Callithrix jacchus: one gene and its partners. The protein of the gene in region 2 purifies or fractionates together with the protein of the main gene of each other region. This does not show direct contact. Links are inferred from orthologs where the notes say so. Each region holds a gene or a part of one and is shown on either strand. Other genes may lie near its edges.

Region 1 (3,654 bases), on a different chromosome or scaffold from region 2:
GACAGGTAATGTAATGTGTGTTTCCAGTTCACTCCATCTAAACAAGGTTTACTTTCGGCAAATACATTCATTCTAGCTCCTTCAAAGCTGCCCCTCAAAATCTCCCCAGACCAAACAACAGAGCGCCAAGGCCAGGCAAGAGGGAGCAGGGCCCGTGCCGGCAATTCTCAGAAGGAACTTCTGCCACACTCAGAAGATGGCAACCAGCATTGCTCCCGAGGGTGAGGGGCCGTCCCGAAACAAAGAGGGGAAACTTACAGCACCGGCACCTCGGTTACATAGATGCACCCACAGGGAGCCAAACATGACCGAGGAAGAGCCGAGACTTCCAGCCCAGAGGCCTTGCGACTTGATAAGCAAACAGGTACCCAGGAAAACAGACTTCATAAAGACAACTGGCTGAGATAAAAATATTCCTAGGAGCGGGTTCACCGCGGCACCGCCAGGGACGCCAGCTGCTCCTCTCTGAGAGAAGCAGTTCTGCACTGATGGGTGAACCCCTAGCCCAATCTCAGGCCCCACCAGCACTTGGTTCTATTCCGACGGGTGAACCAGCCTGGTGTCAGGCCCCACCAGCACTAACAAGGACCAAGACGGCGCAGCATCGCCTTCCAACCTGTCCAAAAGGGGGCTGGTCCAGTCCTTACCATATTTTTTTCTGATTTCGTCATGTCTTGTCTTCATCTCCGCTCTCCTAAAACACAGAGAAACATGATTAGCATCAAGCTACAGCATTCAGTGTAACTGTATGACATGCCCTCCGTGTCCCTCAGGAGGGGCTGCAGGTTTCTTCTGGTGGCTTCCCTCCAGTTCCCAGAGTGAAACCAGGGTAGGGACAAGCTTGGTCACTGGACCACACACCCACGAGGACAGGCAGGGTGACAGTGAACCCAGTCTTCCGAGGCTATTCCAATGTATTATCTATTCTTTTCAATAAAAGTAATTCAAATGCCCGATATTGTGATTTTTCAAAAGCTTTTTTCATACAAAAAAAAATACACCGATGAGTAAAAATCATACACCAGGTTCTGAACAGGGTTAGGAAATGCGATCATCAGTTTTACCTAGTAGCATGTGACTTCAAGGTGGATGCATGGAAAATGTGTCCTGCCTCCACCCTCACCAGCTGCCAGCTTGACTCCCTTGCCAGGTGTGGCTGACACCACCTCCTCCCAGGGCTACCCAACAGCCCCAGGAGAGTACTGTGTCACCAGGGAATGGTGACAGGAGAGCCAACCTGGCCACAAGCAGACGCTGTCCCCTCTGAGCCTCAGCTTGCTCCTGGCACATGGAGAGCCTGGACCAGCCGCCTTAGCAGCCATAAGAGACCCGTGACGCCACAGATGCGAGCCTCATTGCACGGACCGGAGGAGACAGGCAAGGAAGCCTGTGGAAGCAAGGTCCATGGCCACCGTCAGGTTCCCACCCTGTTCTCACTCTCCACCATGACCTAGAAGGTCCCCTGGGTGCTATACACATTCTTAATTTCTAAAACCTGAGGAAAACTCATGATGTATGCACGTGACTCCCATGGCCTTGGAGATGTGAATCCCCTCGAGGCCAACTTCTTCCCAGAGGGGATCGCTGCGACCTCACCGTTCCTCCTGCCGTATCCGCCTCTCCTCCCGTTCACGCATGGCCTTCTCCTCGCTCCTGTCTGGCTTCCGGCTCCTCTTCCTCCTGCAGCAGCAGCAGCAGCAGACGGCGATGCCCAGGAGGAGGGCTCCCCCAACCACCGACATGGTGATGATCAGTGCCTCAAAGTTCACTGGAGAGTCACACACCTCGAGTTAGGGCCGCCACAGACACAGAACCACCCCAGCGCAGCACCCTTCCCTTGTCCCTGGGAACCATCTCAGAACACGGGAGCATTAAGTAGTAAACGCCTCGGCCCAGCTGCTGGCTCCCGGGGTGTGGAGAGCCTGTGGCCCTGTACCCACCCCACAGCGTCCGGCCCTCTCTGAGCCTCCTTTCAGCCACAGGTTCACATCTGTGACTACCACTGATGGATTAACCACGATGAACTGAAGTGACACGGTAATCTCACTTGAGTTTGCAAAGGTATTCGAAGCACAAGAAAAGTTAACTAAATCAGAATTCTAAGCTACATATTCAGACCCTCCTAAGACATTCTAAACGCATAGAAATGGATGTGAAGCCTGATGCAGCTTTGTTTTTGTTTAAAGCAAAGTCAAGACTATTACACTTATTTACAGGAGAAAGAAACTCAGGGCACAGACTGACCGCCAGACTCAAAAGGAGTGACCTGGGAGGGGCGGACCAGGCCATGGAACAAGATGGGGTCATCCTCAGATCTGAGTATTTTGGGTTCCCTGGGGTTGAAAAAGGGCTAATCAGTACCCAACACTAATGACCTCCATAATCAACCTTCAGAGACACATGCAAATTTAAAACAAATCTTACTATTCAACTTCTTTTAAAGATCTATAAATTAAAATCAGCCAAGACTTTTCCATTCAGTTCAAACCACGGCCAGTTAGAAAATGCCCTAACACTGCTCTGCAAACGTGTTTTCAGTCATCCAGTTCAAACAGCCTCCTTGGCTGGAACACCCATAATCCCAGCACTGTGGAGGCCGAAACAAGAGTGCGTGAGTCCAGGAGTTCAACACCAGCCTGGCCAACAAAGTGAGACCCCACCCCTGCCCATTTCTACGCAAACTTTCACAAAATTAGCTGGATGCGGTGGCATGCACGTCTGGTCCCAGCAACATGGGAGGCTGAGGTGGGAGGATCGCTTGGGCTGGGAGGTTGAGGCTGCAATGAGCCATGCCTGCACTACTGCACTCCAACCTGGGCAACACAGCAAGACACCGTCTCGAAAAAAACAGAAAACACCCACCCAGTCTCCTGAAGACGCTTTATGAGCAAACTCCCCTGGGCAGTAGATAACCTATGATTCACTGTTTGTAACTCTAGTTAGTAGCTGTGCCACGCCACAGGTGAGAGCTCTGACCTCCAGGGGCTGCATGGACTCCCTCAGTCCGGCCCTTTGCTGCCGTGCGCCCTGAGATGCACTTCTAGTGGGTTATCATTTAACACAACTCATTTTTTACTTGATTAAACTAGTTTGAAAATCAGGAATGGGAGTTGCATCTGATCAAATGCCTTTTGAGCTTCTAATCCTGTTTTTTCTTTCCCTGAACCGTTCTGGAAATATCAAATTGCAAACATTACAATAATAGAGAGAATTAGAGAGGGGACCTTCATTGGCAGAAGATGTCATTTTTTTTTTTTTTTGAGACGGAGTTTTGCTCTTGTTGCCCAGGCTGCAATGGCACGATCTTGGCTCACTGCAACCCCCACCTCCGGGGTTCAAGCAAGTCTCCTGCCTCAGCCTCCCGAGTAGCTGGGATTACAGGCATGCACCACCACTTAGCTAATTCTGTATTTTTTAAATAGAGACAGGGTTTGATCACGTTGGTCAGGCTGGTCTTGAACTCCTGACCTCAAGTGATCCCCCCACCTCCCAAAGTGCTGGGATTACAGGCCCATGCCACTGCGCCAGGCTAAAGATGTCATTTTTTGACTGGAGAACTCCAGAAAAATCAGCTAAAAAACCCAATGAGACCAACAAGATAGCTGGCCCTAAAACATACCTACCCCTCCTCAGACAGCTTTTCTGATTAGCAGC
Region 2 (3,654 bases):
ACTAAGAACAGAGCAGCAGCCCAAGGCTATAATGTAAGGCTTACTTCAAGTTGCCTGATAGAAGACTCTCTTTCATGAATAAGGCGGAGGTCATCCTCTGTAATTTCTTCATCCTGCACCTGCACTTGAGGTTGAGTTTGGCTAACAGAAAAAAATGAATGTGGAAAAAAACAAAGATTGGTTGGTATTCAAAACAATGAGACTCATTTCCTATTTAAGATATATTCATTAAATAGGAGATTTTATTTTTCCAAGTCACAGAACTTCTCACTTAAAAAATTCTAAGACTATAATAATCAAATTTTACTCATTTTTCATTTCACTTATATCATTTTATCTAATATGAGTTTAGTGTTATTACTTAATCATTGGAAGTTATATTGGGCAACTGGGTATTTCTTCTCACCTGACTTAAACCTCATATAAGGGAATGTGTCTATTAAGTCCATAAATATTTATTTGGAAAATTTTATATATAATAAATACTTTATAATTAGTGAATTTGTTTTTCAAACTTACTCTCTGTTTTCAATGTATAAAAAACTTAAGGTATTTATGATATAATATACTGAAAGTTTTAATTCTGTTCTAGGGACCTTAATGTATAAACTTTGAAAAATTACCTTTTGATCTGTAAAATATTTTCTATTTCTTACCTTTCCCAGGATACAAGATTCCTTTCTTTTGAGCTGTCCTCAGGAAAACCGCCCTGAATAATTTAGTAACAGGATGGAATGAGAAGGGGCAAAGAGAGGAAAAATAAGAAAAAATAAACAACACTCATATTTTCCCTTATGATAATCTAAACTGATTTACATATACGTGCACGCGCGTGTGTGTATGTGTGTGTGTGTGTTTGTGTACAGAGAGAGAAAGACATTCTTGTTTTAATTTTTCAGGTCAACTGTTTCAAGTAATAATATAATTATAAGTAATTTTATATTCTAAGTAGACAAGAAAGGAATTGACTAAATATTCTAAAGTGTTAGAATACTAAATATTCTCAAGTATTACTTGGTTAAAGCTTAATGCAGTCTTGGAATCCGTATGTTAAGGAATAAGAAAACAACTCATGATACTTTATAAGGGAATTTAAAATTAGATTAATTCAAAATTCTACTGAAAAGTTTCATTTATTTTCTCCAGGCTCATGTTCATTTTCAATATTCATACAACATACTTGCACCATTCATCTTTGTCATCTTGGTGTAATCCAGGAGGAAAGTGCTTTCTATATTAGTGTGTACACAAGCAGAAAGCCTCAGTGCCAAGACAATATGAGAATACTAATGAGGACTTGATCCCTAATCTTTTCTGACAAATTATGTCTCTAAATTTTTACATAATCTATAATATTCTATAAAATGACACAGAAAAAATAACCATAGTAATACATAATTATCATCCTTCTCTAAAAATGGAGAAGAAAAGCATAAAAATAAATATTCAAGTGCTGATTTCCAAGATATTCACAGATCGTATGCTACTACTGACTTTCATGGGCCCCTTAGAAAGTAATCATGTTTGGGAGGCTGAGGCAGGTGGATCACGAGGTCAATAGATCGAGACCATCCTGGTCAACATGGTGAAACCCCGTCTCTACTAAAAATACAAAAAATTAGCTGGGCATGGTGGTGCGTGCCTGTAATCCCAGCTACTCAGGAGGCTGAGGCAGGAGAATTGCCTGAACCCAGGAGGCGGAGGTTGTGGTGAGCCGAGACCGCGCCATTGCACTCCAGCCTGGGTAACAAGAGCGAAACTCCGTCTCAAAAAAAAAAAAAAAAGTAATCATGTTTATTTCTAGAATGTCTCTCTAAATACTTACAGACACTCTGGAACTGGCTCTTACTCGAGCAACAAACTCTTTCTCTCGCTCAGCAGCCTGCCTCTGGACCTTCTGGAAGTTTGTCAGTGATGTTGTGAACTCTGCCACTAAGCGATCTTTCTGTATTTTCCTTTGACGCTAGGGGTAAGAGAAAAAACAAGGCCAAGTAGAATCAAGCTGTGAAGTTCAACAGAATTTGGTAGCTGTTTTATCATTAGCTGGCTCTTTATCTAATCCTGAAGTTTTCACTTACTCCCCAATTACCAGGCCTTACGGATTAACTCTCAATAACATTCTGACAGTATGTCAAACACTGTACATATTTAACTTGAGGCAAAAGACCCATTGTGCTGGATTTGTCACCTCAAGTTTTCACGCTGCTAAACACTAGCTCATGATTTTGAGCCTATTTTAAGCAATTCCTTTTTAGACAAATAAAGCCTTATGCTTTTAGCTAAGTAATAACTTCCATTGCATAAGCAGGGAAATAAATATGTTCCCCCAGGACACCTCACATGCTGAATGAGTCTGCACGTTGCATGAAGTCAGACCTGGGAGGCCAGGAAATAATTACTCAGGAAGCATTTTCTGAGAACTTACTTAATTACGGGTCAGGGCAAATGCATGGAAATAATTTTTGCTTTATTGAACCACAGGATACTACCTGAGCAATTAAATATAGTTTTGTGTTCTGTGAACTAATGTCAAGCAGAATTATTTTTGATTTCCTTTTTAGCATAAGAGTTCAAAGATCCTACAATGCATTTGATTTTTTTCACATTCAATACATCAACAATGGGTCTTAAAGCTTCATACCTGTTCACTGGGGGTGGTGGGCAGAGATCCAAACTCTTTAATGTACTTGTCTGTTTCTTTGGCAAGCTGGTTAGTATACTGCTGCTTCTGTTGCCTGAAGTGAGAAAACACACATTATGGCCAAAGGATTAATATACTTCTTTAAGCTGCAACTCTGCCATTTAAATCAACACTGACAAATAGTTGTATAAAAATTGCCTTTGCATAAACTGGCTCTGAACTTCGTAAAAAAAAATTCATGTCCTTTTCTTTGATAAATATTGAGCAAATATTGTATGTCAGGTTCTTCACTCACACAGGTTAGCTGAGCTTAGAGAAATAAAAATCAATGACCATTTAGAAACAGATGAATCAAGTCAGAGGAAACTTGAAAAGGAGACTGTTGGACGTCTGATCCTTTAAGTTTGAGATATTGGGGATGTGGGAGCCTTTTATCCACATCTCACACCTGGAAGGTGAGGTGAGCAAGAAAAGATTTGTTGCCTTAGACTGTACCTCATTCCCAGATCTTAGTTATATCTGGCCTCTCCTATTTCTCTATATGACCATGTATATGCTATAGATACTTAAAAAAAAAAAAAAAAAAGGCCCAAGCTTGCCGGTTCATGTCTGTCACCCCAACACTCTGAGAGGCTGAGGTGGGCAGATCGTCGTAGGCCAGGAGTTTGAGACCAGCCTGTCCAACATGGCAAAACCTTATCTCTACCAAAAACAACAAAAATTAGCCAGGTACAGTGGTGCACATCTGTAATCCCAGCTACTTAGGAGGCTGAGGCAGGAGAATCACTTGAACATGGGAGGCGGAGGTTGCAGTGAGCTGAGATCACACCACTGTACTTCAGCCTGAGCAACAGAGGGAAACTGTCTCAAACAAACAAATAAACAAAAAGAAAAGAGGCAATATTGAAGCAAGTTTACAATTATTTAAGTTTGTGGTGGAAAAAATAATAGCATTTCCTTGTAAAGGGAAAGAACACAATAAATAAAAGAAGTAAATCACAGTCATTCCTTGG
Region 3 (3,654 bases), on a different chromosome or scaffold from region 2:
TGATTAGTAGTCACACTTGATTAAGAAGTAAATTTTATTTCTATAAAATACTTTGCAGGAGTGTATTAGTATGTAGCGATTCTCAATATTTTTCTTGTTAAAAATTTATTTTTTGTTTTTCTGGAATAATGAGGGAAGTGGAGTTTTTTCTTAACTCTATTTGCCTTAACAGATTCTGATATGTAAGCTGCTTTTATTTTTTTCCCCCTTCAACCAAAAGTCATATTTTTCTCTAGCTTCCACTTTATTTTTTTGATAGCTCTACATAATGCTATAGACGTTGCTCCAAAAAAGTACTGAGTAAATTATAAGGAAAAATGTGTATTTGTTACAAGTTAGTAAGTCTAGTGGTAACCAAGTTATTAATAAAATCTGGAATAATTTCATGAAAAAAATCTATGAAAATATCCTTTTAGGCATACTTATTTAGTTATCCCTGTCCCCAAAGCCATTAAGTTAACAAGTATTTCTACCATGTCTCAGGACAGTTATAGGCCCTGTTTTCACAGAGGTTATGCTCTAGAGGCCCTTTTTTCTTCATGTGTTTGAATACCACTTCAGATGCTGACCAATCTACCCAGTATCTTCTGATTTACTTACTTTGCATCCACGCCACCACATTTGCCTTCGAAGTTGTTTGGATCTGTTGCTAAAAGCTGTTGCATTATCCGATAAGCTTTCTATATCACATAGAGGATGGAGAGAAGGATTAAACGACATAACAGGATTCTTTTATCTAGTCACACAAAGATAAGAAAATATTAATTTCTACTTCTGCAAATTGATTCCCTTTTAAGCATGAAAACAACATTCTCCCTTTTTTTCCCACCCACAAATTCTGGCATTATACATTAACAAAACAAAAGCAACAAACAGCTTACAGATCAGTTTGTGCAATCGTTTTTTATTATAAAATTAAGAAAAGTCTTTTTAGGGCCTCAATGCTTACAAATAAACTTAGGAATTCTAGTAAGAAAATACTCTTTAAAAATTCAAATACTTGGCACACCTCTAGAAAAAAAAACATGTGGAAAAGGTTCTTAAATATCAACAGTGACTGATTTTAAAGGAAAACAAAATACATTTTAAAAGTGACTAAGCGAGGTTTTTTTTTTTAAGTAAGTCTGTAAAAGATTAACCAGCTATTCAGCCATTCACCATTCAAACAATATTTGAGTGCCAAGTATGTGCCAGGTATAGGTATAGGTTACAGGTGTAACGAGTGAAAGTAAAGAAAGGTGACTAAGTTATCAAATAAAGCATAGAATAAAAATATCAGGTAAGTTAGAGACAAGTGTTGAAAAGTGGTAAGTCTTTAGGCCCTGAGATCATGAGAAACACAAAGTACATCAACATTACAGGGCAAAAGAAAAAACAGCTCTACTCTTCAACAATGAAATTTTAAACTCTTCAGAGCAAAGGAGTTAAAATTAAACCAGTAAAATCATACATATAAGAACCAAATGCCAATTTCCTAAGCCAAGATTTGTAAACACTGGCTAGACAAGTAGAAGACATAAACTAGCAAACAGAGTAATAATATCAAGAAATACATGAAGATCTGTACCTGATTTGTCCTGTAGTTCATCTAGTCTCTCCCCTCTCTCAATTACCTTTGTAATATTTTCTTGCATGACATCAATAACTTCATCCACCTGATTCTGAACACTAGGTTAAAAAAGATAATGATTTATTCTTCTTGTGAGAATGCTTACAATTTTTTTCTTCCTATCACTTGGAGCAAAAAATTTTTGGAACTTTTATTAGACATAATAAAAAATAGCAAATTCTCTCAGAATTATTCAGTTACAGAATTTAAATTGAAGACTTTGTAGCAATGTCCTTCCATTTGTGGGCTTCAGTATTCACATAATGAAAGACAATACGATATAAATTAAAGTAATATTTAAAGATAGCTTACTTTTAGCCCTACTTCTGACTTGTAACCCATAAGGAAGTTAAATGTACTGGCAGCATGCTCATTAAGCATAGAATTTAGTTAAACAGCTTCACTAAAAATGTTTCATTTTCTTTTCAACAGGCCTTTGAGGCAGCACACACAGACATCGCTGTACTCTACTTTTGCTATATATTTCATACATGTAGGCTAACAAAGTAGTTATGTTAACATACCTTTTGCTCAGGTATGGTAAAGGCTTATGATAAGTATCTAGTTTCCAAAACGGAAATGTATGGCATATTCTAAGAGATACTAATGTTCAATGGGTAGAATTCTTCACTACTCATCAGTTTTTTCTTAAACATAAACAGGGTATAAGACAACTGGGGACACCTAGGAATATTTTGAAGTACCCACCAGAAAGCAAAAAGAAAAAAATTGTTTGCTAATCCTTTATATTAGATGATATAATAGTCATATAATATCGTAATAAGATGATATAATAGTCATATAATATCATAATAGTCATATCATCTAATATAAAGGATTAACAAACAATTGAAGAACAACTGGGACCTGTTTTAACCAAATTTCAGACTGTTTAGTAAAGACTTAACCTAAACTTAAAATTTTAATAACTACAACTGGTCCTCAGGTACCTACTTTCATTCAGGAGTTACCACCAGAGTACACAAACATGGACATGGTTAATGATTTTAAGTGTCTTGTTCTCCTGTGTTGCTCTAACCACAAGACAAAAAATTATCTAAATTACTTTATGAAATAAGTCACAATAATGAAATATTTTAAAAGAGGAATAAAGCAAATCCATGGTCCTCATAACTCAAAACTGTTGAAAGTGCATTGGATTACTAGCAACTACAGGCATGTGCTACAAACATGTTGGTCAATAATAAGCCATATTTACAATGGTGGTCCCATAACTTATAATACCATATTTTTACTGCATGTTTACATATGTTTAAACACACAGATACTTACCATTGTGTTACAGTTACCTACAGTATTCAGTATAGTCACATGCTGGATGGGTTTGTAGCTTATGTGTATAGTAGGCTACACCAGGTAGGTTTGTGTAAGTATGCTCTATAATGTTCACACAGTGAAACTGCCTAATGATGCAATTCTCCAAACGTATCCTGTCATTAAGGGCCCATGATGGTATATAAACATTAAATGTGTATGTGTGTGTGTATGTGTGTATTTAAATAAATGAAAATATGCAATTGTGTTTCTAGTTGAAAAAGAAGTGTATGAGTTATCATCTAGGGGGCTTTAACAAGTTTTTACAGTACACAGATATGGTCTCTGTCCTCTATCCCACACAAGCCCCCAACGTAGTAAGTCAGGGGTAAGCCATGGTCATGTTTAATTTTGAAACAGGTCTATCCTTTCCTATCATTGAGCTAGTTCTTCAAAAAGTGTGCTTAAAAACAAAATGAAGGCCCATTTAGACATAGATGGATTCAGAAATACTCTCAGATTCAAGTAGCAATTAAAAGCTTGATGAAAGTCACCTACCTTCCATGTTAAAAGCATTATGTATACCCATCGATTACCCACACATAAACTTCAAGATTTTTCACAGCATCCCAGAGTTCTGTGCTTCCCACATATTACTCCACTGGAGGATATAAGACTGAAGCTCATCCAAGTTGGGCATGCAGAACTCTCTTCTGCCCAAACAGATCTGAAAGAACCCCTAAATCTCTAAGACTTCTTTTTGAAACTCC

What was found.
Region 1: the proteins of STX7 (region 2) and PTTG1IP purify together in Homo sapiens (affinity purification with mass spectrometry; 3 studies listed by BioGRID and IntAct, counting the BioPlex papers as one, with this or other methods). This does not show direct contact. The link is inferred for Callithrix jacchus from reciprocal best matches to the Homo sapiens genes STX7 and PTTG1IP.
Region 3: the proteins of STX7 (region 2) and VAMP4 purify together in Homo sapiens (affinity purification with mass spectrometry; 3 studies listed by BioGRID and IntAct, counting the BioPlex papers as one, with this or other methods). This does not show direct contact. The link is inferred for Callithrix jacchus from reciprocal best matches to the Homo sapiens genes STX7 and VAMP4.

Annotation. Positions count from the first base shown.
Region 1 is NC_133522.1:50,512,788-50,516,441, forward strand, and holds part of PTTG1IP (pituitary tumor-transforming gene 1 protein-interacting protein), read right to left. Parts: intron 1,769-3,654; coding exon 1,597-1,768; intron 695-1,596; coding exon 648-694; intron 1-647. UniProt on the Homo sapiens protein: May facilitate PTTG1 nuclear translocation.
Region 2 is NC_133505.1:139,118,021-139,121,674, forward strand, and holds part of STX7 (syntaxin-7), read right to left. Parts: intron 2,736-3,654; coding exon 2,642-2,735; intron 1,964-2,641; coding exon 1,826-1,963; intron 710-1,825; coding exon 657-709; intron 142-656; coding exon 45-141; intron 1-44. UniProt on the Homo sapiens protein: May be involved in protein trafficking from the plasma membrane to the early endosome (EE) as well as in homotypic fusion of endocytic organelles. Mediates the endocytic trafficking from early endosomes to late endosomes and lysosomes.
Region 3 is NC_133519.1:31,011,078-31,014,731, reverse strand, and holds part of VAMP4 (vesicle-associated membrane protein 4), read right to left. Parts: intron 1,669-3,654; coding exon 1,568-1,668; intron 681-1,567; coding exon 601-680; intron 1-600. UniProt on the Homo sapiens protein: Involved in the pathway that functions to remove an inhibitor (probably synaptotagmin-4) of calcium-triggered exocytosis during the maturation of secretory granules.